Linked DNA regions of Cricetulus griseus. The protein of the gene in region 1 purifies or fractionates together with the protein of each later gene. This does not show direct contact. Links are inferred from orthologs where the notes say so. Each region holds a gene or a part of one and is shown in the gene's direction. Other genes may lie near its edges. The genes, in order: Axin1, Lrp6, Dvl1, Hipk2, Gsk3a, Amer1 and Ppp2r5a.

Region 1 (3,500 bases):
CAGCAGCAAAAACTATTTCCCTAATCTCTAAGAGTGTAGGTGGTATGGTTTTCATCTGGTGGAGCTAAACCATATTTCCTGTATGCTTCTTTAGCTAAAAAGCTAAAGTATTTGTAATTCATTTTTCCCTATACCTTTTTTGCCTAAGTTTCTAGTTACCATTTGCTATCAGAAGGGACTCTTCTTCTAAGAGAAATTGGCAGCCAAGTAAGTATAGCTTTCTGCATCTCTGAGGTTGTTTATGTTGATGCACAGATGCCTCTACATATGGACTGTGTCCTTCCATCACTTTTCATCATGTGGAAGGTGGCACATGAACAGTTGATCTCTTAGCTGTTGAGAGCTGGAAGCACATCTTGCTATGTGGTTGCTTATATTATGAGGCATATCAAGTATGAAAAGTGATAGAGCAGACAGGTTAGTACAGAGACTGTTAAACTTGGAATGTGCCTATCCACCTTAGGATCTGTAGTGTGCCTCTTTGTTTCTGAGTGTCACTTGGGCAAGTGATATGGTTGTCTTTATGTGTGAGGGACCATCTAGGTCACTGATGCTAGCAAATGGCTACAGAGGCACCTTCCCTTCTTTAGCTTTCCTGTCCACCAGACAGTCATTTCTTTAGTGTCAGGATGGGTGATCTTCAGGCCTCATCACTGAAAACATCCCCTGAAAGAGAGATGCCCTCCAAGATCTAGTCTTTCACTTAGTAGGAGAGACATACATTCTTTTTTTTTTTTTTTTTTTTTTTTTTTTTTTTTTTGAGACAGGGTTTCTCTGTGGCTTTGGAGGCTGTCCTGGAACTGGCTCTTTTAGACCAGGCTGGTCTGAGAGACATTCTTGTAAAAGTTTCCAGAAATTGTCTTAATGATAGAACAAAACTTCTGGCCCAGATATGTCTCTGCTGGAAGTCTGCAATGAGTCTCTGCTCCAAGTGGGAGTGGGGGGGCATCACTGCACATCTCAAGAGAACCTCTGGTGTTTCCATGGACCACCTTTCCTAATCCTTGTCCTCTTAATGGTTTCAACAGGACAGATTGATTCCCTTGGGAGCTGTAAGTACTGAGGTATTAGGGTGCAGCGCTCATTGTTCACTGACGCAGAGTCCCAAAATGAATGTCCAGGAGCAGGGTTTCCCCTTGGACCTCGGAACAAGTTTCACCGAAGATGCCCCCCGGCCCCCAGTGCCTGGAGAAGAGGGAGAACTGGTATCTACTGATTCAAGGCCTGTTAACCACAGTTTCTGCTCTGGGAAAGGTGCCAGCACTAAAAGTGAGACCTCAACAGCTACCCCAAGACGTTCAGATCTGGATCTGGGATATGAGCCTGAGGGCAGTGCCTCCCCCACCCCACCATACTTGAGGTGGGCTGAGTCACTGCATTCCTTATTGGATGACCAAGATGGGATCAGCCTGTTCAGGACTTTCCTGAAGCAGGAGGGCTGTGCTGACCTCCTGGACTTCTGGTTTGCCTGCAGTGGCTTCAGGAAGCTTGAGCCTTGTGACTCAAATGAGGAGAAGAGGCTGAAGCTGGCAAGAGCCATCTATCGAAAGTATATCCTGGATAGCAATGGCATTGTGTCCAGACAAACCAAGCCAGCCACTAAGAGCTTCATAAAGGACTGTGTCATGAAGCAGCAGATCGATCCTGCCATGTTTGACCAGGCACAGACAGAAATCCAGTCCACCATGGAGGAGAATACCTACCCTTCTTTCCTTAAGTCTGACATTTATTTGGAATACACAAGGACAGGCTCAGAGAGTCCGAAGGTTTGCAGTGACCAGAGCTCAGGGTCTGGGACAGGGAAAGGCATGTCTGGATACCTGCCTACTTTGAATGAAGATGAAGAATGGAAATGTGACCAAGATGCAGATGAAGATGATGGCCGAGACTCTGTCCCCCCCAGCAGGCTCACCCAGAAGCTGCTATTGGAGACTGCTGCCCCGAGGGCCCCCTCAAGTAGACGGTACAGCGAAGGCAGAGAGCTCAGGTGAGTTCGGCACAAGGTGTCCATTTTCTATACACACCTTGGAGAACTGGCAAAGGAGCAAGGGAAAGATGGTAACAGGTGGCCTTGTGTTCAATCCCAGCTGAAATCTCTACTGCTGCTCTTGTTGAATTACGTGTGGTTCTATTTCCTACTTAGATGTCTTCATGCTTGTCATTATACCTTTTTATATTTGCAGAGTTGAGAATGCATCGAACAAGACTTAGATGTAATCCCACCTACTTGGGAAACTGAGGACGGAGGATCAAAAATTGTTTGTCAGTCTGGGCAACTTGTAGAGATTCAAAATGAAAAGTCGTGGAGGCTTATCAGAGTTCCTGCATAGCATGCTGGAAACCCTCCTTTAGTTCCCTCTTTAGTAACACATGTACTACTAAAGATAGGTCTTTGTGAATTATTAGAAACATGGAAATTCTTAGAAGTCATAATGTTTAAGCTTTACGTTTGAGCACAAAATTCATGTCATCTTTCATAAAAGAGGGACCTGATTGGAGACAGACACCCTAACCCTTAATAATGGGAGGGGAATGCATTCAAATGCATAGAAAATCCTAATTTATTTATTTTTAACTTTAGACTTATTTATTTTATGTGTATGGCCGTTTTATAGCCTTGTATGTATACCACATGTGTTTCTGGTACCCACAGAATTTCTGTCAGAAGAGGGTTTCAGATCTCTTGAGACTGGCTGGAGTTAACAAACACTTGCAAGCCACCATGTGGTGCTGGGATTCAAACCCTGGCCCTCTAGAAGAGCAACAAGTGCTCTTAACTGCCAAGCCATCTCTCCAAAACCCACCTCCCACACCTTACTATTTTAATCAATCTTTTGGATTTTTCCTGAAGGATGAGACAGTAGTGGGGCAGTTTCTGTGTCATTAGTTGTTGGGAGGTTCAGAGATTCAGAAACTACTGATGTCTGTGCTTGGAATTCCAGAATTGGACATTTTCCCTCCATGGTGTGGTCAGTAAGGGTGTAGTCCAAGGGTGCAACTGGAGGACAACAGTGCTCTCAAGTGACTGTAGCTTTGAAAGTTGTTTCTTCACTTTTCTGTTTTAATGTATATATATTTTTACATTTATTCCGCTGTGTGAGTGTGTGTGCGTGCGCGCCTGCACCTCAAGTATGGGGGGTGGGGGAGGCACTGCCCTCAGGCTCATGTGGCATGTGTGTGCATATGTGGTAAGAGAACTACTTTCAGGAATCACTTCTCTTCTTGTGAGTTCTAGGGGTTGAACTCAGTCATTAGGATTGGTGACAGCCTCCTTTACCTGATAACCTGTCTTGTCAGCCCAAGCTTTATTGTTTTTTAAAATTTAGTATCTTGGTTACAGGAAGCTTGTTTGGCTACCTTGGTGCTTGTTTTACTTGTGGGCAGAGTTTGTTTCCTGCTTATTTCCCTAGAGCTGATGACTAGAGACTTACCTTACCATTAATCTCAACATGAAAACCTTTCCCAGGTGCTGAGATGGTTGGTGTTTAGAACCCATACTG
Region 2 (3,933 bases), on another chromosome or scaffold:
AAAAAAAGAAAAGAAAAAAGTCTGCATTTCTGGGAAGGCACGAAAAAGGCAAGGAAAAGAAAGGAAATTGTTTTTCTTTCTTTTCTTTCTTGGCTTATATTCATTATACATAATGATGGATAAGATTCAAGCATGTAATTTTCTTTTAACGCATTAACCCCTATGCTGGTCCCTTTCTCCCCATCTCACTAGCCTCCTTCTTTCTCCCAGATAGTCACCACACTTTTGTTTACTTATCATATATGTGTCAGCTCGTCTGTCTGTCTGTCTGTCTGTCTGTCTATGTATACACACACCCACACCCAGACAATCTAGATCCACATACGAGAGACATTTGTCTGAGTCAGGCTTACAATGTGTATAAAATCTAGGACCTACAATCTTTTTGTCTTTCCAAGTTTGGTCTTTTCCGCATATAGGTGACTTTGTAACTATGTACCGCAGGCTCCACACTGAGAGAGAGGAAACATACTTTCTTTAAAAACAAAAAAATAATAGTCTGGCTCATATCACTTCATACAACGATTCTCAATTCAGCGCACTACAAGTCTGCCTCGCGCCGGCTTCTGCACAGCGTCCACCCGGTTCACCGCTCGCTCGCTCGCTCGCTCGCAGGGAGCGAGCGCAAGCCGCGCTGGCACTGTTTCTTTTCCGAGGCGGGCGCAGCGCCCGCCGCAGCCCGGGGTCCCGCGCGCAGCTCCACCTGGCTCCGCGGCCGGGCGCACAAAGAGCGGCGCGGGCGGCGACGGGCCGGGACGCAGAAAGTAGTCCCGACCACGCCGGCCCCAGTGTCGGCCGACGTCGCCTCACGCCCTCCGCCGCCCGGGGAAAGAATCCCATTGGAATGCGCCCCGGGAAGACCTTTTCCCCGTCAGCCTGCCGGGGCTCGCGAGGCCCAGCTCGCGCGGGGGTGGGGAAGCCGGAGGGCCGTTGGCGCGCGCGGCGGTGGCGGCTCCCGGGTCCGGCGGCGGCGCGCTGAGGAGGTGGGGGGGGGCGGGTCGGGCGCGCAGGGAGACGGCGGCGGCCCCGCGGCGGATCCCTGCGCCGCGGCCGGAGGAAGAGGCTGAATGAGGCGCCGCGCGGACGTGGGGCGCCGCGGGAGGAGGCGGCGGCATGGGGCAGGCGCTGGGCGTCGCGCGAGCCCGGGCCGGAGCGGCGCGCTAGAGCCCTGACGTGCGCTCTTCCCTTCCTTTCTTCTCCTCCTCCTCCTTCTCCTCCTCCTCTCCTCCTCCCGGCCGCGGAGAGCATGAGCGTGCAGACCCGCCGCTGCGGCGGCCGCCCCGGCTCCTCGCTCGCGCGTCCCCTGGCCGCCGGACGCCGGTGAGGGCCGCGAGCGCGCGCCGAGCGGGGAAGATGGGGGCCGTGCTGAGGAGCCTCCTGGCCTGCAGCTTCTGCGTGCTGCTGAGAGGTGAGGCGAGGAGGCCCCGGTGGCAGAGTTGCCGGGGTCGGGGACGGGGGGGGGAGGGGAGGGGAGGCGGCGGGGAACCGAGGCCTGGTGCTGGGGGAGCCGCGCGAGCAAGGGGGCCCGCGATCGGGGGGCCGCGCCCGGCCACGGCGCACACCCCTGCCCGGCCCCGCGGCGCGGCCGGACAAAGCTGCGGGCCTCGGGGGGACCCCCCCCGACCCCCCGCACCCCGACTGTGCCTCGCTCTGCCTGCACTCCCGGGCAGAAAAGGGTCTTTTGTAGTGGGGCTCTCGGCACCGTCGGTGTTGACCTCCTCCTCCTCCCTCCCTCCCTCCCTCGAAGCCCCCACCTTTCCCGTGTCTCTTAGGTGAACTTTTTATTTTCTTCTTCTTCTTCTTCTCCAAACCTCACTGTTTCCCCCTCTCCCCTCCAGGCCTTGTAACAACTGATAATTGGCTTCCGTTTGGGATAGAATGATCCTGGGTGGGAGCACAGTTGGAAATTGACTCTAGGGTTATAGGTCGCGCTTTTCAGCATCGGGGACTCTTCTGAGCCCATAATAAAACACACACGTTGCCCTCGCAACCCCTGGTCTTCAGGACTCGCCCCCTGTCTCCGTTTGTGCAGTGTACAGTTGGCACCAAGTAGGGGAGTCATCCTCGTGTGGCGAGGAGCTTATCCTGGGAACTAAATGATCATTTGCTGGGCACCCCCTGGGAACTGCTTGGCACTTGAGTAAATAACAGAATGCCCTGGGTAATTTGCTGTGGGAATCGCCTAAATTTAGTGTTTGGAATTGGACTGCGAAGCTGACACCTACGTCCTGTCGAGCGACAGTTTGCAAAGGGAAAGCTTGTCGATGGTCTTCTCCAGTTGGTGAGAGGTGGGGCTGATGCTGTTGAGTGTTTCACCTGTGCAGGAATTTAGGCGTCTCTTGACGCTGTGGCTTGTAGTTCTGCTTTTGTTCATTTCACCTGTGCCAGTTAATGGGACCTCTCCGGGATTCTTAGTTATTAACAAGCTAAACTTTTAACTCCTCTGGAAGTAAGGAAGTTGGCAAAGCAGGATAGTAACTAACATCTTATAAACCGGACAGGTGTGTCATCTCTGGGTATGTGAATAAGAGTAGTAGCCTTTAAAAATAGGCAAGCATTTTCTAAAAATAAGCATTTTGTTCCAAATTGTCTAGTCCTACTTGTACACTCCAGAAAGATAATTGCTGTTTAATTTTCATGGTAGAGAACTTTATATTATTAGATACTTGAGAGATTTAATAATACATGTTTATTTTGTTATAGTAAAGTCTACAAAAAAAGGAGATTTTGCTATAGCATCGAGAAAGTTGCAGTTGACATGAGAATATAATTGACAGGTTCATAAGAGTTAAATGTAAGAGCCAGTGGTTTGATCAGAGTTGGGAAAAGCCAAATCCATAACCTAGGATGGCTAGTTGCAGTTCTTAGCCGGGCATGGTGTGGTGCAAATGCTATTTGTTTTGATATCAGGGTTGAGTCTAGAGTTGAGTAGATACATTACTTGGTTGTATTTGTGGTGATAGTTGAGAAGCACGAATAGTTTAGGAGCATGATGCTAACAAGCCCAAGAAGAAATAACAGTCCAAAGTGGAGCTGCCTTTAAATTTAGCATAATAATGGTGTGAGGAGATCTTCTGTTTACTATTTAATTGTAGCTATCATTTCAACTGAAACTGTCTTTTGATATAAAACATTCTTGTTCCTACTTTAAATTCTCTTTACTCCTTGATAATGTTATCCTCTGTTATAAATGACAGTTAGTTACCCTTGGTTTCCCAGGAGCAAAGTTTAGTTCCTTGTAGTTGAAGAAAAGGTGGCACTTTCAGACTGGGTGTGTGGGTTTGGGACTTTTGGCCCTGCAGCCTTGTTTATCAGCAGTTGAGAGTCATTTACTACTGCCAGTATCAGAGTCACTCCCTACTCCTATTATCAATCGACAGGTATATTGGGAAAAATGTGAAACTTGAGGATTTCACCCTGAAGTCTTGAGTTTAAAGTTAGATCTTCATTATCCCTGCTCTATTTCTCTCGGCCTCAGTTTACCTGTAAAACACAGGTAATGATACCTGTCTGTCTGATTTGCAGGGTTATTAGGTGTGTTTAATGAAGTAACATATAAAGTGCTTTCCAAATATTAATTAAAAGTTTTAAAGACAAGATCTTTCTGTGTTACCCAGGCTGACCTCTAAATGCAACTGTTCTCCTTCCTCAGCCTCCTGAGTGCACAACACATGGCTATATATGTTATTTTTGTGTGAGTGAAAACTTTTGATTATTTATGGGTGTTGGCAATTAAAGATTTAATTTAAGATCCAGGATTGCTTAAAGTAGATGGTATTGTGGTCATTTGCAAGGAGCAGGGGCATTATCTGCCAGGTAGATAAAGGTAGAGCAGGGATTTACTCCATTCCCCCGCAAGTGTTCTCAGAGGAGCTTCTCCTGTGCGTATGTATAGCTGCAAATAAGGCAGGTAGGGCTGTGCTCTATTAGATT
Region 3 (2,576 bases), on another chromosome or scaffold:
AGCAGGCATCTTAGGCAGAGTGGAGCACAGCAGCCATGTTACACGGTCTGGAGAAAGACTCGAGACAGTCACCTTTGAGGACATAGGATGGGAGAAAGGAGAGGTTGGGCCAGAGGGTGGCAATGCCCAAGGGGAAGCTGTTGAGTGACTCCTAATCCTGAACAGGCCCTTGCATGCACCCAAGCTCAGCTTGACCCACAATAGTCCTAGTTGGCCATTGGTGAGCACTGGACTGGTGTGTGACTTGTGCTATCCCTTGCTTTGTGCTGAGCAAGCCTTAGACTGAAGGACTAGCAGAGTGGACCCTCGGGCCGGTAAGCCAGGTCCCCCTGTGTCCCTCTCAGCATGTCCCCAGCCAGCACGTGTTTTCAGGTTCCCACCACTTTCCGGACAGAAGCTAAGAAAATTAGCTGACCAGGGCCCTGGGGTTGGGTGGACAGTGGGTCTTTGGGTGGTGAACCCAAGATGGCTAACGGGAATGCTGAGCACACAGGGCCTTCATTGGTGTCTTGGATTCTCAGCTATAACATCAGCCCTTGGTTCAAGCATTGGGGTTAGGTGCCAAGCTGGTCCCCATTATCTCTCCTGTCTGCATTTGCCCCTAGCTCCTTGTCTTTCATCTGCTCCTGGTATCTGCATGGCTGCCATTCCCCTACTACCCCCAGGCTCACCAGATCCTGCCCTGGCTGTCTGGGAGCAGCTGGTGTTCCTGTAAGTGGCTAGGCCTGGTGTGGACTTGGTTGTCTCTTCCCTTCTCCCAGGGAGCAAGAGCAGTGGGTCCACAAGGAGCAGCCATCGGACCCCAGGCCGAGAGGAGCGCCGGGCAGCTGGAGCTGGGGGCAGTGGCAGCGAATCAGATCACACGGCACCAAGTGGGTCTGGTAGCACTGGCTGGTGGGAGCGTCCAGTCAGCCAGCTTAGCCATGGCAGTAGCCCTAGAAGTCAGGCGTCAGCTGTTGCCCCAGGTCTCCCCCCACTGCACCCCCTGACAAAGGCCTATGCAGTAGTGGGTGGGCCACCTGGAGGGCCACCTGTCCGGGAGCTGGCTGCTGTTCCTCCGGAACTTACAGGTAGCCGCCAGTCCTTCCAAAAGGCTATGGGAAATCCCTGTGAGTTCTTTGTGGACATTATGTGACTATCAACCAGTGTTTTCAGTGGTGCCTGTGGCAAGAGTCTGTGGTCCTGCTGTGCCAGGACCTCTATGGGCTTGCCTTAGTGATGGCCAGCCAAGATAGATCAGCCGTGGGGTCTGGGCCAGGGCAGAGGGAGCAGGCTGCAGAGGAAGGGCTGAGGGCAGCAGCCATATTACTAGGATATGGGCTTGGCATTCTGCCTGCTCTGTGGTGCGGCCCAAGTATCTGTAGAGTCTTGTGAGGGGACATCTCTGTCTTTAGATCCTTAACACAAGTCTCAGGGACCACCTTCTGGTTCCTTTTTTGGAAGTGACCTCCATTTAGGACAAGACGGACTCTTTTGGGCTCTGTGCTCTCCCCTCACCCCCAGCCTGAAACTCCCAGAACTGTGCACAGGGACCCAGGCCTACTCTCACTGAGTTCATGGGCCTCACCTGTCAGGCCAAGGTGGGGGGTTCTTGAGGGGTTAGACCAAGCCTTTAAACCTCTCTGGCTGCCCATGTGGGGTCTAACTTATTTATTTATTGCTAGTCTGCCTGCTCTGAGGGTGGCAGCTGGTTACCCAATGGGGGCAGGTGCATGTCCCTTTCCCCACTTGGTACTCAGCACATGACAGCACAGTTTGTACTGAAAGTATGTGGAGGATGGCTAGTACGGGAGACAAGAGAGGCCAGGCACCTGTATACTGTCTTAGCCTCAATGGAGGAGTGATAGCGCACACAATAGCTACGGAGATGGAGGTCCTGTCCTGTCATTGCTATCCTGGTGGCTCTCTACCAGCTTGTGCCACTGCCATTCTGGCATCACAGTCCCACATGTCTGCACTGTAGATACTGTGTCAAAGTCTGAGCAACTGGGTAGTTCACATAGAGCTGCTTCTGTGTAAATGCTGCTTCTGTGTAAATGCTATTTTAAACACTAAAAAGCGTTTAATTTTATGGGACTGATGTGTGGTCTGTTTCTCTTTTCTCCAGCTTAGCTGCTTGGGATTCAGGTGTGGGGGCCAGTCCAGAACTGACTCAGGTCTGGTCCTGCCTGGAGTTGGAAGACACTTGGTCATGTGGCACTGTCCCTGGTGCTGGCCAGTTACAGGGGTCTCATAGACAACTTTTCTGTCCTTGGTACTAGGAGCAGACTCTAGGGGGTCCTGGGTGGCTGGTGCTGGCCATGGTGCTGACCCCTACCATTGCTTATGCTCTGTCCAAGGTGCTGGTAGTGACTTGGTTCTCTCGCAGGCTAGGGTTGGGCTAGGAAGGGAGGAGGTGGGTGTTGGCCTACCTATTGAGTGCCATCTACCTGCTGGCTTTCTTGCTTTGTCCCAGTGCATACGTATGCCTAGCTTTTTATTTCTGGGATATATTTATTAAAAACAGAATATTTATATTTCTGTTCAGGGTGCTGAGGGCCCCAGGCTGGGCATATTCAGGCAAGTAGTACCTTCTG
Region 4 (4,281 bases), on another chromosome or scaffold:
CCAATACTGAGGCGGAGAAGATGGCCGTCAAGGACCATCCCAAGACGAAGAGAAACGTATTTTCCAGTAACAAAACAAGCTAAGTGTGTGCAGGAGCTGGCTTGTCTTTTATTCTGGGAGGATGATGAGCACGGGATACAGAGGAGGGAAGGAGAGTGAGAAAAAAATGGGCTTAAAAATAAAACAATGGGCTTGTTTTTAAAGAAAGTTGTAGAGTTGGAGGCCGTCGTTTTACATCCCCACCCCTCAAGACAGCTTTTAAACTGTTTTGACCTGTGATCCGCAGATGGGGATTAATATAGTTTACATCAGGTGTCCAGTATTTATTCGTGAAAACAAAGGGTTTAAGGTACAACAGTTGACCTTCCTAAGGGCAATGAGCTTTAGTGTTTTTGTTGTTGTTGGATTCTGGTAATATTTTGTTGGATTTTTCAAAAACACTAAATTTGTTTTGTGGTGTATTCATGTGTCGGGACTCAACAAGTTTTCCTAAGTTGGAGGCGATGGCAGGGCAGGACTCCGAGGCTGGGAGAGTTTAAACAACGTCTCGTTCGCTCGGATCGATCCGAGCGGCGCGCAGGAAAAAAGCCAAACCCTGGAACCGCTAGGTGGGACCCTGCCACCCGGATGCTGGAGGAGAGGGGGTCAGGCGTCCACCCCGACGCTGCCTGTCCCCGGGCAGCCTCCGGAGAGAAAGGACTGTGTGCCCATTCCCTCCATTCATCCCCCGGCGTGTCAGCGAGCCCCGAGCCCCGAGCCCGCACGCGCTGGGACCAGGACACTTTTCCCCGGCAGTGGGACCGTGCTCGGGGGCAGCGGATCGCGCTCCCCGGCCTGGCTCGCCCGGCCCGGCTCGCCCGGCGCGCGCCACCCCCCCCCGCGCGCGCGCACTGCCCCGCAAAAGCACGCGCACACAAAGTTGTGGCCGCCTCCGCCGCGCAGCTCCGGTCGGCGGCGGCGGCGGTCAGCGCACCGCGCTCTCGCCCGGCCCGGCCCGGCTCGCACGTCCGGCCTCTCGGCTCCCCTCGGGCCGCGCTCGGCCCCCGCCGCCGCCCGGCTCCGTCCTTCGGCTCGGCCTTCCCCGCCTTCCTCGCATCCGTGCCATCGGCGCTCGATTGCGCGCGGACTCCCTGGGGCTCTTCCCGGCTCGCTCGCGCTCGCCCGCTCGCCCGCCTGCCCGCCGGGCCCGCCCGCTCGTCCGGCCCGCCCGCCCGCTCGCGCCCGGCCGCGCCGCCCCGCCCCCGCCCCCTCCCCCGGCTCCTCACGGGCAAACTTTTGCCGGCGCCCCCGCCTCACAGCCATGCGGAGCTGAGCTCCGGCCCGGGCCTGGCCGCCGCAGCCCGCCCGGCTCCCGCGCCTCGCCGGGAACCCGCCCCGGCCTCGGCCCGGAAGCCTTAGCCGCCCCGGGCCGGGCGAGCCCCCCGCGCAGGGCCCGGGCCGCGGCCACCGGCGGCGCGGCGGCGGTGGTGGTGGTTGGTGGGCGGCGGCCGGCGACGCGCTCGGCCCGCTCGCCCGCTCGCCCGGCCCCCTCCCCCGGCGCCGGCCAAGTGAGGCGGTGATGCGGGCGCTGGCGGCCTGGGCTGCGCCGAGAGCGGAGGAAACACAGGCTCAAGATGGCAGATTCCCACTGAGGCTGAGGGGGCCGAGCTCGCGCGCCGCGTTCCCTGCTCCGTTGCCATGAGCCGCGGACACCCCGGCCCCGATGGCCCCCGTGTACGAAGGTAAGCGGCGTCCGGCCCGCGCACCCCGGGGCCCCCGGCTTGCCCGCTCGCTCGCTCGCTCGCTCGCCCTGCCGGCCAGCCCGCCGCGGCCCCCGCAGCTTTGTTCTGCCCGCGGCCCCTCGCCCCGCAGGCAGCCCCGGGCCCCGGCCGCGGGCGCTCGTGACCCTCCCCGGTGCCCCGATCCCGGGCCCAGACGGTGCCGGAGCCGGCCTGGAGCGGGAGCTGCTGCCCGGGGCGGGGAAGGCGGCCGGGGGGTGTGTGCCGGGTGGGCTGCTGCCCAAAGAAAGCGATGGGGGCGGCGTACGGGGCGAGCCGGATCGCGACTGCTCTGTTTACCCGCGGTGGACCGAGGGGATGCGAGCCTCCCACCACCTTTATCTAAATGGTCTCCTTCCTGCTCGCCCGTCCTCTCCGCTCCCACCCCGCGCGCTCCTTTATTCTTCCCGAGCCTCCGATATTTTTTGGGGGGTGGTGGCGGCTGCGGCGGCGGCGGCTGTGGAATCCAATTATAAGGGGCCAAGCGGCGAGAGAGGGTAGAGATGAAAAGTCCATTTCAGACCCAGGCAGAACAATGAAATAGGCTTAAAATCTCCCCGCAGTCGGCGTGCGGGAGGCAGAGTGTAGTTTGGCTCGGGCTTGGGGGGCGGAGGAAGGGCTCTGGCTCGGCCCTGGCTGCATCTGGGCGCCGTGCACCTTCACCTGGCGCTGGCTGCTCTCCCCGGTCTGACTGCCTTCATGAGAAAGGGAAGGTAAGGCTGCCTCGCAAAGCACTCTTTCGGTTCTCTTCAGTCAGTTCCGTCAGCTTGCAGCGAGGAAAAAAAAAAAAAAAAATCAACCCCGAATCAACTAAGTTTTTACACTTCTGTGTGTTTTTGTGTGCTTGAAGTACGGGGGCTTTTTTTTTTCTTTTTCAACCAAAGTGTGCCCGATTTTTTTTTCCAGTTATTTTCATCGTGAAAATGTGTCTCTCGTGAAATCATTGAAATAACAGCCCTTTTACATACTTTTAGCGTGGGTCCATCTGGCTTTCTTTCGGTTTTGTTCAGATAATTCTGTGGATGAAATCGCAAATGAGACGGAAACGGGTTTGCCAGGAACCAAGAGGAGGGGCGAGGGGAGATTGTAATCCTACGAAGCTGGGGAACTCTTGGGGCCCCAGCGAAACAGGGATCTCATTAATAGTTTTATCTCTGTTAGGAGAGGCTGGTTTAAAAAAATAAAACTTATCTGAAAAGAAAATCTGTTATTAGTTCCAGGGCTCCTAATGAATTAGGTTTCTGCACGGAATAAAGTTACCAGTCCGGCTCTGAATAATGAGGCTGTAAATAACCTATGGACTGTAAATATTTTTTTCCAGAGTCTCTGAGAAACAAAGGGGCTGTTTAGAAAGCAACAGAGAAATGTTATTCCAGGGGCTTTCCTCTTTGATTCTGAAGAACACAAGGTCCATTTAACCGTTCCACAAAACAAAACAAAATTTCAGATCACTCCACCACATAGAATGGGAACGAGCCAGTGGGCATGTGAACACGTAGGAGAGACCATGTCGGGCATTCATTGTTCATCTGTTCTAGGGGAGGGGGTTGCAGTCAAAGCTCCCACTGTCTAGAGTGTTAAAATGAAACAGTTTTCTCTTTATTAAGTACCTCCTTGAGACTCCCTCTGCTGGACACTCGGGGTGAGCATTTTAGAAGGAACTTGGCGTTGAATCCACAACTGTAAAAGAGGGCTGCTTTTCCTCTTCCAGGGGGCTGGCTAGGTGGGTTGAGGTGTATTTTGTCAACTTTGTACAAAGTCCTTGGGGACTGCATTTATCATGTTGATTTCATTCGAATCCATGAGGAATGTAGGCTACCCCCCCCCCCCCGGGGGCTAAGTAAGGCCTAGTATGGTTGGTTCTTTCAGTGATATGGCAGATAAAGAATTACAGGTGCGTAAGGCATTACAGTGTAGGACTGTAGATCTCAAGGGTCTCGGCTCATAGTTTTATTTTCCAACCCTTCTCTATCCCAGGCAACCTAATTTGTCACCTTTTTCAACCCTGGGCTTTCTTGAATCTTGTCTGTGGGTTCTCTGAACTGTTCTTTTGTTTGTAGCTTCTATGGGATCATCTCTGTACATCTTCATAATTATCTTCCTAGTCTTGCTGAGCACTGCTTCTCTACCAGCCCAGAATCACCTAGCCCAAAGCTCAGGCCTGGTCTTTCTCAGAGTGACTGTTAGGCCTGCTGTGAGACAGATGAATGACCTCCATAGTCAAGGACTATGCTATGAGGACCTACATTAACTCACAGTGTGTGTGCCCAAGACGACAGTGACCTCTCCCTTGACCCGAAGTGACAATCTGTGGATTTAGTGAACCTGATTTTTACTATTATCTCAACCAGAACCCAGCCCCCCCCCCCCCCCGTGTGTGTGTGTGTGTGTGTGTGTGTGTGTGTGTGTGTGTGTATGTGTGTGTGTGTGTGTGTGTGTGTGTGTTGTCTTAAATGAGCAGGGCTTTTCCTGCAGACTTCTCCAAGAAAAGGGATTTCCTCCTAATAATCCACAAGATCCTTCT
Region 5 (4,275 bases), on another chromosome or scaffold:
TGCAGCTCGTCCTCTTGGCTGTAACCACGTTGTCAGAGAGAGGGAGAGAGAGAGAGACAGGGAGAGAGAGGGAGAGAGAGAGAGGGGGAGGGAGAGGGAGGGAGAGAGAGAGGGAGTGACAGAGAGAGGAAGAGACGGAGAGAGAGAGAGGGAGAGAGAGGGGGAGAGAGAGGGGGAGAGAGACAGAGAGAGGGAGAGAGACAGAGAAAGAAGAGGGGGAGAGACAGAGAGAGAGGAGAGGGAGAGAGAGACAGAGAGAGAGAGGAGAGGGAGAGAGAGGGAGAGAGACAGAGAGACAGAGGGAGACAGAGAGAGAGTCCCCGAAAACAAGCGTTGGGACCCGCGGTCGGTCGGTCGGTCGGGCCGGGACTGTTCGTGAAACCCTTGGAGGATTCAGGGAGGAAACGTGTTTCTCTTCCCAATCTGTGGCCCTCGAGGGACTGGCTCCTTTTCCCAGCAGTGGCTGATGGGCTGAGGACCAGGGAGGAGACATTGTAACTCCTAATAGTTTCCCCCCGGGAACTCTCGTCCTTAACCTTTCACCTCCACTGCCAGCCACAGCACTCCCTTTGGACTACGTTTCCCAAGAAGCCCTGCACCTAGCTTCACAAAGAGTCAGATTCCACTGTGGACTCTTCCCAGCATGCCTCTGGCTGCTGGTCGCTCCCATCCCCTTCCTCAAAGATGAGGCTGTCTTGAACTTCATTTCCCAGAAGACACCAGGCTGGCTGAAGCACCGCGCTTAACTCTTGGTGTCGACTACATTTCCCGGAAGGAACTGCGGCGCAGCTAACTGGACAGAGAGAGCGCGATGCCCGCTCCATTTCCTATCCTACCTCTTCCAGTTACAGTATCTACTTGGGGTTTGAGGACCACCTGAGTCTTTTCCTAGCGTGCTTTACAAAACGCTCTACACCTGCAATGCGGTGAGGGCGTGGTGACGACTCCATTTCCCAGTGTGCTTCACAGATCAAGAACCGAGGGTGCACGAGTGCGGACTCAATCTCCCAGAAGGCACCCGGCACAGGAAGTCACCGACCAGCCCATGGGAGTGGATGGGTGACTGGACTCCATTTCCCAGAATGCTTCAGGGTTGGAGGCCGCTCCGGGATGGAGGGGCTAGGATTTCATTTCTGATAGCCTCTGGGGCTTGCTGTTGCATCTGTGTAATGAGCGTCTTGCCCTGAATGTGGCTTCCGAAGTATTTTAGAGTTGCCTTTGGTCAGGGTCGGGTGACATTATCCAGGACTCTACTTCCCGACGTGCAGCGCGAACCGTATTTCCCCCCCACCCCTTTTCCCTCTGTCCCCCCTCCCCGCCCCCCTCCCCCCCCGTCAGCTACTCTGAGGTCTTGAGAACTCCATTTCCCGGCGTGCTGTGCGAGTCCGAGGGTGGCGACAACGAAGCCGACGGCAGAGGGACTTCATCTCCCGGCGTGCCCCGCGGCGGGCGCTGGGCCGGAGCCGGAGCCCGAACGGCGCGGCCTGGAAGAGGCCGGAGCCCAGGGGAGGCGGCGGCAGAGGCGGCGGCGGCAGGGGCAGCCCAGGCAGCCCGAGCCCGCGGCCCTGGGCCTGCGCTCGGCGCCATGAGTGGCGGCGGGCCTTCGGGAGGCGGCCCTGGGAGCTCGGGCCGGGCGCGGACCAGCTCGTTCGCGGAGCCAGGCGGCGGAGGCGGAGGCGGTGGAGGCGGCCCCGGGGGCTCGGCCTCCGGCCCGGGAGGCAGTGGCGGCGGGAAGGCGTCAGTCGGGGCTATGGGTGGGGGCGTGGGCGCCTCGGGCTCCGGGGGTGGCCCCAGCGGCAGCGGCGGAGGCGGCAGCGCTGGCGCCGGCGCGGGCACTAGCTTCCCGCCGCCCGGAGTGAAGCTGGGCCGTGAGTACTTAGGGGCGCCCCGTGGGGTGGTGGTGGCGGCGGTGGCGGCGGCGATCGGGGTCCCCCAAGCCCGGCAAACGGCGGCGGCCAGGCTTTCTTTGGTATTTTTTTTTTATTATTATTTTTTATTTTTATTTTCTATTTTTTTTTTCTCTTTTCCCCGGGACCCAGATAGAAAGAAGCAGCTTGAGGTTCACCGTGCTGTTTCACACCGGGATCTGGGCTCTCGGGGCTCCCGGATAAAGGAGTTGGGGGGCTCCCATCCCTTGGAGTTTAGAATCAGAATTACCAGCATCCGAGAAGCAGAGGTCACAGGCCCCATTCTTCCAGTATCCAGTATCAAGGTCCCGGGTACTTGACGACGCTGCCATGCACTAGGGAACAGGATCAGAGGTCATAGTTACTTGCCAGTGGTGATCTAGGATCATTGTCCCCTAAGAGACAAGAATAAAAAAGATCACTGCCACCGTCCTATACGGAAAAGGGGGCGGGGGGGGGGCACTGGTTTCCTTTCCATCAGAAATGGGGATTTGGATGGAATGTCTCTTTTAGAAGTGCAGACTTAGGATTACTGATGTTCCCACAGAGCAGGGCCAGGCTTGAAATATAAGGCCTGACATGACCACCTTACCCATCGAAAATGTGTAGACTTGTGTCCCCAATGCTGACAGCGAGTTATCATTGCTGTTTGTAAATGACAGCAGATTGGGAATAGCAATGAGCTTCAAATCAAACAGTGTTCTTTTTAAAAAGAAAAAAATGGGGGGGGGGGCGGGGCTGGTTAGCCAAAAAATAGAATGGGGTGGCCTGGGTCACACCTACTATAAAATACGGGTTTGAAGTGGCCGTCTTTGGCTCTGGGGAAAAAAAAAAAAAAAAAAAAAGCAATGTAGGATTATTTTTCAAAATGTCATACACTGCCCCCTCCCAACTGGAATTTGTTGATAAGTTTTCGGAAGGTGACTGGGAATGGCACTAAGAATATCCCACACATCCCAATCAGTGCAGTGTTAGGTAAGAGCAACAGCAACCCCCACCCCTAGCAACAAGTGAGGGTCAGGGCACTGTCAGTTAGCCCCGTTCATTTCCGTCACTCAGGAGCAGTGGCAATGGTCCTTGATCTGCCAGGGAGGATTTAGAAGTTAGTGCCCTCAGACTGTGAGAATGGCCAGAGTTTTCTGGAAGAACGAACACCTCATAGTTTCTGCTCCTTTGAGTGGAAGATGGTACCTTGTGGTGGCCCTGCAGAAGGGGCCAAAGGCCGGGGAGCCCGGTGCGGCTGGGTTATGCACCGAGGGTGTTGATGGTCCCCCACCACCAAGTGACTTGCTGTTGTTTGCTAAAAGGAGAAAGTGGGTACTTACACATTAATGGAAATAAGTTTGCATGTCCGTGCCCTCCAATATGGGAAGCAGAATGTAGGGTTCCTTGGAGGGAGGCTCCGGGTTACTGGAGTAGCTAAGCTCCCCTCCCTGTCCTCAGGTATTGAACTCAAGGTGTGTGCCAGACAGTACTCTGTCACCAAGTAATCACTGTCCCTTCACCCACAGTGAGTTTTTTGAACAGCTTTCCCTCCCTGGGAAAGGTCAGTAGATTGTATTCCCTTTGTTCCTTAGGTGACAGCGGGAAGGTGACCACAGTGGTAGCCACTCTAGGCCAAGGCCCAGAGCGTTCCCAAGAGGTGGCTTACACTGACATCAAAGTGATTGGCAATGGCTCATTTGGAGTCGTGTACCAGGCACGGCTGGCAGAGACAAGGGAACTAGTGGCCATCAAGAAGGTTCTTCAGGACAAAAGGTTCAAGGTACCTTGAGTGGACTGGCGGTTTGGGGACTGGGAGTGACTGCTGTTTGTGTCCAGCAATAGGACTAGTATCTGGAATTTAATGTTCTTACTATTATTTATTAATGTGTGCATGTGTATGATGTATGTGTGTGCCATGATGCATATACGGAGGCCAGGCAACTGTTGGGAGTTGGTTCTCCTACCACCCTGGAATCTGGGGATTGAACCCAGGTCATCGGTCTTGCATGGCAAGCACTTCTATGGACTGATGTGTCTCACCAGCCTGAGCCCAGGATTTCAGCGGGACCTGAGCATGGGCCTCAGGAGAGAGGGAATTCCGGTGAAGTGAACTGGGGGAAATGTAAATTTCAGAAGAGCTGAGAGCTAATGTTTACTGGGCATTTCCTTGGTGTTAAGTGCTTGACAGGCAAGTTCTAATTTAATTGACCTGAAGCATCTCTGAGGGCAGGACCTGCTGCTATTCCTGCTCTATGTCAGCAGAAATGAGGCTGCATGGTAAGGGCCCCTTCGGGGGAAGGCTCTGGCCTGTAGACTCGGAAGTCCCTCTCCTCAACCACTTGGTCACATCTCTTCCAGAAGAAAAGGTCAGATAAGGCTGATG
Region 6 (4,258 bases), on another chromosome or scaffold:
ATGAAATATTATAGAAAGAGTTGGACTGAACTCATAGAGCTTATTACCGCTTTGTGGAAATGGAATGACTGGCTCAGACAAGAGAGCAGATTGGCCAAGGTCTCACAGCAAGTCTGAGGCAGAAAGGAAAGTAGATCCCACCTCTAACAGCCATGTCAATTCCTTTGCTTCACACAGGCAGTGGCAGCAGTCCAAGTCTCACCAGTCCAGCATCTGGATCTTTACAAGGTAGACAGGATCCAGTACAGCAGCAGACAACTCTGCAAGGGGGAGGGGGTGTCATTGTTCTCTAATCCTTTCCAGCTCTGCAACCTCAATCCACTTCCCCCTCCCCTTTTAGACTTTGACAGAGTTTTCAAGTTGGGATTTCTGTACATTCCAGAGCTGGTTATACAACTGGATTCTTTGTTGCTCCAGCTCACCTGGCACTGGCAGTTACTAATGCCTCTTAATGTCTTCAGGCTAGTTAGAGGCCTAAGCTCAGCTGGCTCCCAGCCACATTCCAGACACAGTAGCCTGCAAGGCTGGTCTGACAGGCCTCCTCACAGTTCCTCAGTCTGACCTCTGGTTAGGACTCAGACAAAACTTCTTTCAGCACTTAGATTTTTCCAGAAAAGGGATCTGCACAGAACGAGACTCACAATTGAAGGAGAGTGCTATGGAGGGCGTGAGACTCATTCCTTGTACTTTGGAAGGTATGGAATTGGGGTGAGAGTCAACTATAGAAACAGTTAACTTCCCAGAGAAGCAACGTGAAAGCTACTCTGAAAGGTCAGCATAGGTGTGTATTCCAAATATGCCCCGGTCGCTGGCAGTTCAAGTAATCTCTGAAAAGCAGTTTCCCTTTCCTGGGCAGTACGAGGCCCTTCCATTACTGATGGAAGTTGACCTCTATCTTGCCTTCCCTAAGTGTGCAGAGCAAGCTAGGAAGCTGTGGCTCTGGGGAGGCAGGTGGTGTGGTGTGGGGGAAGGCAAGTCACTTTCCTCTCTGGGAACCCCAGCCACTAAGCCCTGCTGCCACACTTAATAATGAGCCAGCCACGGTGCCAAAGGGTTCTGCAAACCCCACAATCCCTATGGCTCCTCACTTCCCCGCCCCACTTCTCCCAGTTGGTTTCAAGCAACGTGGAGAAACTCCTTGGTAGCAACCCGGAGCAGCAGCATGAAAGCACTGGCCACGGAAACAGGAATGCTCGCAAAATCGAAACCAAGTTCCAAGAATCTGGCTAGTCCCATCTGGGCGGGACTAGCTCTTCGAGTCGGGTGTGTAGCCACGCTGAAACCCGCCCCGCGTGGGGGCGGAAGTGGGAGCCCGGGCTAGGGGTTCTGCAACCTCTCCGCCCCCTGCCAATACCACGCCCGGCTTATTTGCATTTAAAGAGAGAAGCACCAAGGAAAACAGTGGGCGGGCCAGGGCATGCCTTCCCACTGTAGCGATTGGACTGCATGCCTGCCAATCAGATCACGGACGTCCCTCCCTGTAACTGTGGAGTCCAGGGTGAAGGGGGTATGGGGGAGCTGCCCAGAGCCTGGAGAAGGGTAGTTGGTGCAGAAGAATGCTGTAGCCGAGGTGTTGGCTGCGGCAGGAGCAGTCGTGGTGGCGTTCTCAGCAGAGGCTCCAGCTCAGAGCAGAGCAGCTCAGCAGACAATAACCGCACTGGGAGCTGGACCTGGCAGGGTAAGCATTGCGCACAGCTAGGAGCCATCCTGCTGGAGGTTAGTGCATCCCCGCGTGCTCTGCTCTGGTCGCCTGGAAGAGGGCATCAAGGGTCAGGCTGGTCGGAGTCCCGGCCTCTCGCTGCTGTTTCTTGGAGCTCGCTTTGCGTCCTGTCCAGTGAGGGGCCCAGAGGCCGTTAGTCTTTAGGGTACAGGAGATCGTGGCTGGGGGTGGGGTGGGAGGGCCGGAAGGCGGGCGGACTAGCCTGGGCTACGCCTCTAGGTTGTAAGGGGAGGCCGGGATGGGCCCACACGTGCTGTTGCGTGGTTCCGGGAGGGGCGCTGCTAGCTAGCACCCCAAGAATGTGTTTGCAGGCCGGGAACTCCTTAGCTTTGTTTGTAGTACATTTGCTGGAACAGCTGTTAGGCCGGTGCTGCTCACCCGCGAGGCCTTGCTGTGGCCCCTCCCCTCTGCGGTGCATCTCCTATGTCTCCTCTGCAGAGGAAGCTGGCGCGCTAGCAAGGGCCAGACTGAGACTGGCTTTAGGGTGGATTAAGATATCCACAGTCTGTTCCTCCTCAGGGGAGCACAGTTGGGTTTCTGAACTTCCCACTTATCCTTGGAACCTTGGTCCTGTGGTCCCAACTAGCCGCACCCCCTCCTGGGCCTCCAGTCTCATTTGGCTCCCACCCCCATTGCAGGCGGGCTGGACTGGGAGCTCTTACTGGTCCTTGGGTTAAAGCTGCAAGGCCGCTTTGTTGCCGCCCCCCTCCACCCTGCTCGTCTCTTTTCCCTTGTAGGGCATAGGGCGCGTTTTTCTCCCCAGCCTTTGGTTTAAAATAGCAATGGGCACAATATCGTGGGGGGATTTCCGTGCTAGAAGCGGAGGGGGCAGTCATTGTAGTAAAGAACACACGGTGTCTGTAAGGCAGACAAATCCTACAACTTCTCAGTTACTTAAAACACCCAGCCTTCAGACTGCTGTCATTGTCTGCTGCAGACACCTTTGACACTGGTGACCGCCCAAAGGCGTGACTTCTTCTGAGCTCCCTTTTGAGGGGCTAAGCTTGCCAGATGAGCCATGGGTAGGGGGGAGGCAGAGGCGGCAGCCGGACTAATACAGCAGAGCCATCCTCCCCCTTGCTGGACTCGCCTTGATATGAGTCTAGACAGCCCTGTCCGCATACAAACATCTTCTGCGGCTCTGGCCCGCCTGCCTTGGCAGCGTTGGCATGGACGGGACGCAGGACACTGCATTGTTGGACTTCCTACCCTACCACAGGAGATTCCAACAAACCCCCCCCCAAGTGCAGTACTCATGTGGCCTACGATGCACCATTCTGGACTATTCAGGCATTCCTGAAGAATAAGAGAGGGGGTTTGACTAAGGGACTTTGCAGGCTGGACGTCTTTGGAGTGGGGCAATGAGACCCAGTAAATCTCTTACTTGGGAAGGTTAGCATGGAACCTTCGTGATAGCAGCCAGGATTGCAGATACCACACTATTGGCAGCCCTACCTATGTTTACCAGACCTCAGCACAAACCTCTACTTGCAGCTGGACTTTTATATCCTACGTCTGGCTCTCTTCTGCTTTTACTTCAGCACAGCAGCCACATTTCCTACCTGCAGACACTCTCACCCTACCCCTGTCCAAGTCCTTTTCCTTTCAGGCCCCAGTACTCAACCAGCTTTTTCCTTGGGACATTTCAGGCTGCTTCTTGAGGACCAGACCCCTTTCTTGGAACTCCTGTATAGTTAAATTTCCCTAACTGCTTTGCCTCATATAGTTATCTAGGTTCTCTCAGAATGCTCATAAGAGTAAATAAATCTTTGACTTCAGCAATAACTCTCTCAGAGCCTGGCATTATAAAGCAGTTGATGGATGGATGTTCCAGAAGGACTTGCTGTCTTTTTAGAGTTTTAGAAAACACCTTTAGCCTTAGTTTGTTTGTCCCAATACATTAAACTTAAGGAAATGGTGCCCAAGGCTCGAGTGAGTGAGTGTGTGTGTGTGTGTGTGTGTGTGTGTGTGTGTGTGTGTGTGTGTAGGTGTAAGTGGGGATTGGGTTGTTACTACATTAAAAAAGAAAGTCATAATCAGTCCCCTCTATAATAACCTCAAGGTATGGACTGCTCAAACGCTGGGGCTCTGCATACTTTTGGTTGCTGATTCATGAGCCTACAGGCAAACTGCCATTGAAGAGATTTATATATGCAGTGGAGTGTCATCTTGTAAAGCAGCTGGGAAGTACAGGAGTTTGGTCCTGGAAGGGTAGATAGAATTAGAAATGAAAGGGAGTGGCCAGCAGGCAGCATGAGTCTGCTTGAGATGGCATAGCTCAGAGGTACAAAAGAGGTTAGGACCCAGTACTGGGAATTCCCAAATAGCAAACATTGGAATGTGATCTAATCTTTTTAGGGGGAGATCATTGAACAATGGGTGATTAGGGTGTGTGTATGTAGTTTTGATTTTTGCTTTTTTGGGGGGGAGAGGACTTGTTTTGAGACAGGGTCTCACTGGGTAGATCCAGCAACTTGGTTTGTAGGCCAGTGGCCTAGAACTTATTGACAGTTGCCTGTCTTGAATGTTAGGATAAAA
Region 7 (4,166 bases), on another chromosome or scaffold:
GAATCTCCACCGAGATCTGAACTTGACTACGGATGACCGAAGGCCTTCCAGCCGAAGGGGTCAAACGGGGCTAAGTTCGAAACGGAGAACTTCTTCTCAGAGGGCGTGGACCCGCAGAGTTCTCTGAGGTGGCAGAGGCGAGCTCGCCCAAACCCCAGGCGAGAGCAGCGCTCAGAGCACCGCGGCGGCGCCCAAACCTCGGGCGCTACAAAAGCCTCCCAAACCATCAACTACGCGGTTTCGGACCCGAAGGACCAGGGCCCGCCCAGGAGCCCAGCACCGCGTCCCGATTGGACGAGCTCACTCCTCTCCACCCGTCAATCACATGGCTGTGACGCCACCTTCGCTTCGCCCCGCCCCGCCCCGCTGACGCCACAGTCGGCCTTCTTAGGTCCTCTCTGGCCGTGCCCGCCGCGCCTCTGCTTCCCGAGCTGCTGGTCTCCTTTTCCGTTCTCCCTCTGTCAGGAGCGCAGCGCGGGCCGGAGCCGACGGCGGCGTTTCCCCGCGCCCGTCCCTCCGGAGAGCGTTCCTCGCAGTTGTGACGCACAGGCACACCCCGCCCACCCGCTCACCGCCTCCACTTGCGATTGGCTGCAGCCCGCGTCTGTCACGCAGCACCCCCCTCCCTCCCCGCGCTGGACTCCCGAGAGACATCCGGGAGGCCACGCCCCGTCCCCGCTTCGCCCTGTGATTGGCTGAGGGCACTGGCATGCTTTCCCGCCCCGGCCCCCTCCGGAGCCTCGGGAGGCCCGTGGGACCCCGCGGAAGTTGTCGGCCAAACCCCTCCCTCCGCCCCCCCCCCCAGGACCGCCCCCGGGCCGCGGGAGCGCGCACGGCAAGCACGCGCACGGCGCCCCCTGCCCGCCCCACCGCCGCCGCAGCCATCCGCCGCCGCCGCCCCGCGCCGTCCCAGCCGCCCGCTCGAGTTGTAGCAGTCGCTCGCCCGGCGTGCTCCGTGGGCGTCGTGTGCGCGCGGGGGAGCAGAGCCAGGGCGACGCTCGCTCGCAGGGTCCGGGCGCGGGTGGCCGCCGCGGCGCGATGAGGGGCGCGGCGCTGACGGACAGGCAGGGCGAAGCGCTCGGCGGCGGCTCGCGCGGACCGGCGATGGCAGCAGCGCCCCGGGAGGAGGCTCCCGGCCGGGCGGACGGCGCGGGTAGCGGCCTCTGAGGAGCCGCCGGGGCTCCGCGCGCTGAAAGGGGGCGCCGAGCGCGCCCGCGGTCCGCACCCCGCGCTCGCCCCCAGCCGTCGTCCAAACTTCGGGCTCACCTCCGCCCGCCGCTCGCCCGCTCGCCCCCCCTCGGCGGGCGTCCAGCACACTTGTGGCGGCCGCGCCGCGCCCCCCTCCCCCCCCCCGTCCGCCGGCCGGGATGCGGCCGTGAGGCGCTGTCGGGCGGGGAGCAGCTCGCGGAGCGCCAGGCGGCGCGCCCGGGCCCGGGGCGCAGGGGCGCAGGCTCGCCGCGCCCGTCCCTCGCCGACTCCCCGGGCCAGCCGGGCTCCCGGGCCGCGGAGATGTCGTCGCCGTCGCCGCCCGCGCCGGTTTCCTGCGCCGCCGCCATCTCGGCCGCGGAGAAAGTGGACGGCTTCACCCGGAAATCGGTGCGCAAGGCGCAGAGGCAGAAGCGCTCGCAGGGCTCGTCGCAGTTCCGCAGCCAGGGCGGCCAGGCGGAGCTGCACCCCCTGCCCCAGCTCAAAGGTAAAGCCGGCGCGCTCGCCCGCCCGCCCCCAGCCTCCCCCCCCACCCCGGCGAGCCCCGCACCTCTTCCCACATGCCCCCGGTGGCGGCCCCGGGGACCCCGACTCCCCACTCGGCCGAGCCTCTGCCCTGGCTCCCCCCAGGCTTCGCCAGCTGCTGCTTCACTTTCTCTGCTCGCCCCTCGGTCGCCAGACCCGGGGTCCGAGTGCGCTGGCTGCTGCCCCGAGTGTGGAGAGGCGTCGGTGTCAGCCCCCAGAAGACCGCGGGTGTCTCTGGAGAGGTGTGCGGGGAGGACTGTGTCTGTGCCGTGCACCGGCAGCTCGGTTCCCGCGGCTGTGCCTGCCGGCACCTCGTGAGTGAGGTTTTGCACGGTGGTTCAAATTGGTGTGGTGCCCAATGCCTTGCAGGAGTGCTTGGCACTTCTTTTGGCTCACTTACTTTTCCCACTGGGTTTGGGGGCTTTTCACGAAGTTGTTTTCCTGGCGCTCTTGCTTGTCCTTTTGAGAATTACTTGCATTTGGTTTAATGGTCTTAACGCCTTTGCGTCTTATGAGCTGGATGTCACTGTGGGAAGATAATTACGCTCCTAGGTATTTGAGAAATTCTTGCAAACCTGATAGGAGTCTAGAGAATGATTTACAAGGCCAACAAATTAAGGGCTCATGCCTAAATAGATAAACGATCAGCAGAGTTTTCAGTGCGTTTGACAGAGATCCAGCATCCTTTCTTTCAAGGCCAGTCTGGTTCTGATTTGTCTTTGGGTCTGTGAATCCTAACTTAGTCCGTCAGGCAAGGAAGGAGTGTAAAGAAAATCCCAGCTCAACAGTTGACCAACAACAGATTGGGAACCCCGTTCAGACCCGACATCTGCCTCTTGGGGTGCGTCTGAGTCAAGGACACACCACAGCGGACTTTTGAAAAGAGTGTATAAATGTTCAATGTGTATTTCCTTTGTTGTTGACATACTAGGATTGTTTGAATTGATAACAGCGCGGTCAGTGGAGTGCAGCCATAGCCGTGAAACAATCCTGTCTTACCTGTTAGGCTATTGAATCACTATTCAGAGGTTTAAGTTTTTATACAAAAGTTATTTTGTACTTGGTTGTTTTTCATTAGTTTATCGAGTTATTTTTAGCTTGAAGTCTTGATACTAGTATTTTTCTTTCATATTTAATCCTCTCAAGTGAGTTATTCTTGTTCTTCATATTGTACTTTAGTGCTTTTACCTAATAATTTGATTTTAAACATCTGGTTAGTCTCAAGAGCTGCAGTTTTAATAGGTCTTTGCCTTTAAAGCTGACAGAAATTTATAGAATCACTAACCCTATTCTCAGTACATGGGGTCTGACTCAAGAAGTTGCAGGTACCATAAGTTGCGTTTATGTACAGAATTTGGTCAGTAGTAGAAAAAAAGTTGAAACTCCAGACCGATTTTAGATATTTGTTTGTGTTCTATTCCTAAAGGTGTTACTCGCTATAAACTGATGAAGATTCAATTGAGGAAATAAAACTTTTACTTGGAAATAAAACCCTAGAGTAGGAAAAAGAACTTTTACTGTAGTTGCCAAAATGCTTTGAAAAATTGAATTGTTTTACTTGGTACTTTGGCAGTGCCCTTGATACAACAGTGTTGCATGTTTTTTCTGCCAGTAGTATTTCTCCCCCACTTAGGGGTTTAACAAAAACACCACCAGAAAGCCCTTTAGTATGAAAGAGAATTCTTCCTGCTCTGAAATACAGTCTTACTGTGGAGTGATTCAGATATCCGTGGGCATCCGAGATCTTTCAAGTATTTATATCAACCTGCTTACTCTACACTTTGTCCACACGGATCCGGACTGGAAAGATGCCAAGTAGTTTTCTTAAAAGCAGACTGTGAGTAAGGATTAACAAAACAGTACAACCTTTTCAGTTTATTTTTGCAAAATCATGTAGGTGAGTGGGCTGCATGATTTTTAATGTTGAAAACGTTCAAAATAAATAGTAAGTTCCTCTGAGCTGGGTGCTGGGAAATAAAATTAGGAAAATTATATATGAATCTTTTTTTTTTTTCTGGCCTGGCAACTTACATTCATGTAGGATGTAATTTTTTTTTCACCTAAAACTTGCTATTTGATAATGAATAATTAGGAAACTTGTCATTTAAAATAGGTAGTCTTTCAGTGTCTCTAGTCTGTTTTGTTTTAAATTTCTGGGAGGATTGGCTTGGTAAAACAGCTGATTGCTTATATGTATAATAACAGCTTAGTATTTCAAATGGTTATCTTTAAAAAGACAAACCAGTGTTGTCCCTGACAACTGGAACAACCCAAAATGTGTATTGTTGACCCTTGTCATCTGCCTTTTCACACCTACTGTGGTTTTGCTGTTATTTGACAGTCTAGGGCTCAGTATTTTCACAAATATCTTTCTTTGGTTGACACTAGTAACTATTTAGGAGACAGTTGAGGCTTAAGAAGGTTAGTTTCAGGCG

What was found.
Region 2: the proteins of Axin1 (region 1) and Lrp6 purify together in Homo sapiens (affinity purification with western blotting; 7 studies listed by BioGRID and IntAct, with this or other methods). This does not show direct contact. The link is inferred for Cricetulus griseus from reciprocal best matches to the Homo sapiens genes AXIN1 and LRP6.
Region 3: the proteins of Axin1 (region 1) and Dvl1 purify together in Homo sapiens (affinity purification with western blotting; 3 studies listed by BioGRID). This does not show direct contact. The link is inferred for Cricetulus griseus from reciprocal best matches to the Homo sapiens genes AXIN1 and DVL1.
Region 4: the proteins of Axin1 (region 1) and Hipk2 purify together in Homo sapiens (affinity purification with western blotting; 3 studies listed by BioGRID). This does not show direct contact. The link is inferred for Cricetulus griseus from reciprocal best matches to the Homo sapiens genes AXIN1 and HIPK2.
Region 5: the proteins of Axin1 (region 1) and Gsk3a purify together in Homo sapiens (affinity purification with mass spectrometry; 12 studies listed by BioGRID and IntAct, with this or other methods). This does not show direct contact. The link is inferred for Cricetulus griseus from reciprocal best matches to the Homo sapiens genes AXIN1 and GSK3A.
Region 6: the proteins of Axin1 (region 1) and Amer1 purify together in Homo sapiens (affinity purification with mass spectrometry; 4 studies listed by BioGRID and IntAct, with this or other methods). This does not show direct contact. The link is inferred for Cricetulus griseus from reciprocal best matches to the Homo sapiens genes AXIN1 and AMER1.
Region 7: the proteins of Axin1 (region 1) and Ppp2r5a purify together in Homo sapiens (affinity purification with western blotting; 3 studies listed by BioGRID and IntAct, with this or other methods). This does not show direct contact. The link is inferred for Cricetulus griseus from reciprocal best matches to the Homo sapiens genes AXIN1 and PPP2R5A.

What each region holds. Positions count from the first base shown.
Region 1 is NC_048600.1:45,773,066-45,776,565, forward strand, and holds part of Axin1 (axin-1), read left to right. Parts: intron 1-1,028; 5' UTR 1,029-1,109; coding exon 1,110-1,987; intron 1,988-3,500. UniProt on the Homo sapiens protein: Component of the beta-catenin destruction complex required for regulating CTNNB1 levels through phosphorylation and ubiquitination, and modulating Wnt-signaling.
Region 2 is NC_048601.1:14,385,050-14,388,982, forward strand, and holds the start of Lrp6 (low-density lipoprotein receptor-related protein 6), read left to right. Parts: upstream 1-1,133; 5' UTR 1,134-1,353; coding exon 1,354-1,408; intron 1,409-3,933. UniProt on the Homo sapiens protein: Component of the Wnt-Fzd-LRP5-LRP6 complex that triggers beta-catenin signaling through inducing aggregation of receptor-ligand complexes into ribosome-sized signalosomes.
Region 3 is NC_048595.1:425,243-427,818, reverse strand, and holds the end of Dvl1 (segment polarity protein dishevelled homolog DVL-1), read left to right. Parts: intron 1-761; coding exon 762-1,135; 3' UTR 1,136-2,076; downstream 2,077-2,576. UniProt on the Homo sapiens protein: Participates in Wnt signaling by binding to the cytoplasmic C-terminus of frizzled family members and transducing the Wnt signal to down-stream effectors. Plays a role both in canonical and non-canonical Wnt signaling.
Region 4 is NW_023276806.1:189,295,553-189,299,833, forward strand, and holds the start of Hipk2 (homeodomain-interacting protein kinase 2), read left to right. Parts: upstream 1-1,481; 5' UTR 1,482-1,677; coding exon 1,678-1,721; intron 1,722-4,281.
Region 5 is NC_048602.1:9,986,737-9,991,011, reverse strand, and holds the start of Gsk3a (glycogen synthase kinase-3 alpha), read left to right. Parts: upstream 1-1,475; 5' UTR 1,476-1,585; coding exon 1,586-1,868; intron 1,869-2,039; coding exon 2,040-2,219; intron 2,220-3,484; coding exon 3,485-3,672; intron 3,673-4,275. UniProt on the Homo sapiens protein: Constitutively active protein kinase that acts as a negative regulator in the hormonal control of glucose homeostasis, Wnt signaling and regulation of transcription factors and microtubules, by phosphorylating and inactivating glycogen synthase (GYS1 or GYS2), CTNNB1/beta-catenin, APC and AXIN1.
Region 6 is NC_048604.1:74,628,269-74,632,526, forward strand, and holds the start of Amer1 (APC membrane recruitment protein 1), read left to right. Parts: upstream 1-1,458; 5' UTR 1,459-1,716; intron 1,717-4,258. UniProt on the Homo sapiens protein: Regulator of the canonical Wnt signaling pathway.
Region 7 is NC_048598.1:3,652,438-3,656,603, forward strand, and holds the start of Ppp2r5a (serine/threonine-protein phosphatase 2A 56 kDa regulatory subunit alpha isoform), read left to right. Parts: upstream 1-1,366; 5' UTR 1,367-1,509; coding exon 1,510-1,693; intron 1,694-4,166. UniProt on the Homo sapiens protein: The B regulatory subunit might modulate substrate selectivity and catalytic activity, and might also direct the localization of the catalytic enzyme to a particular subcellular compartment.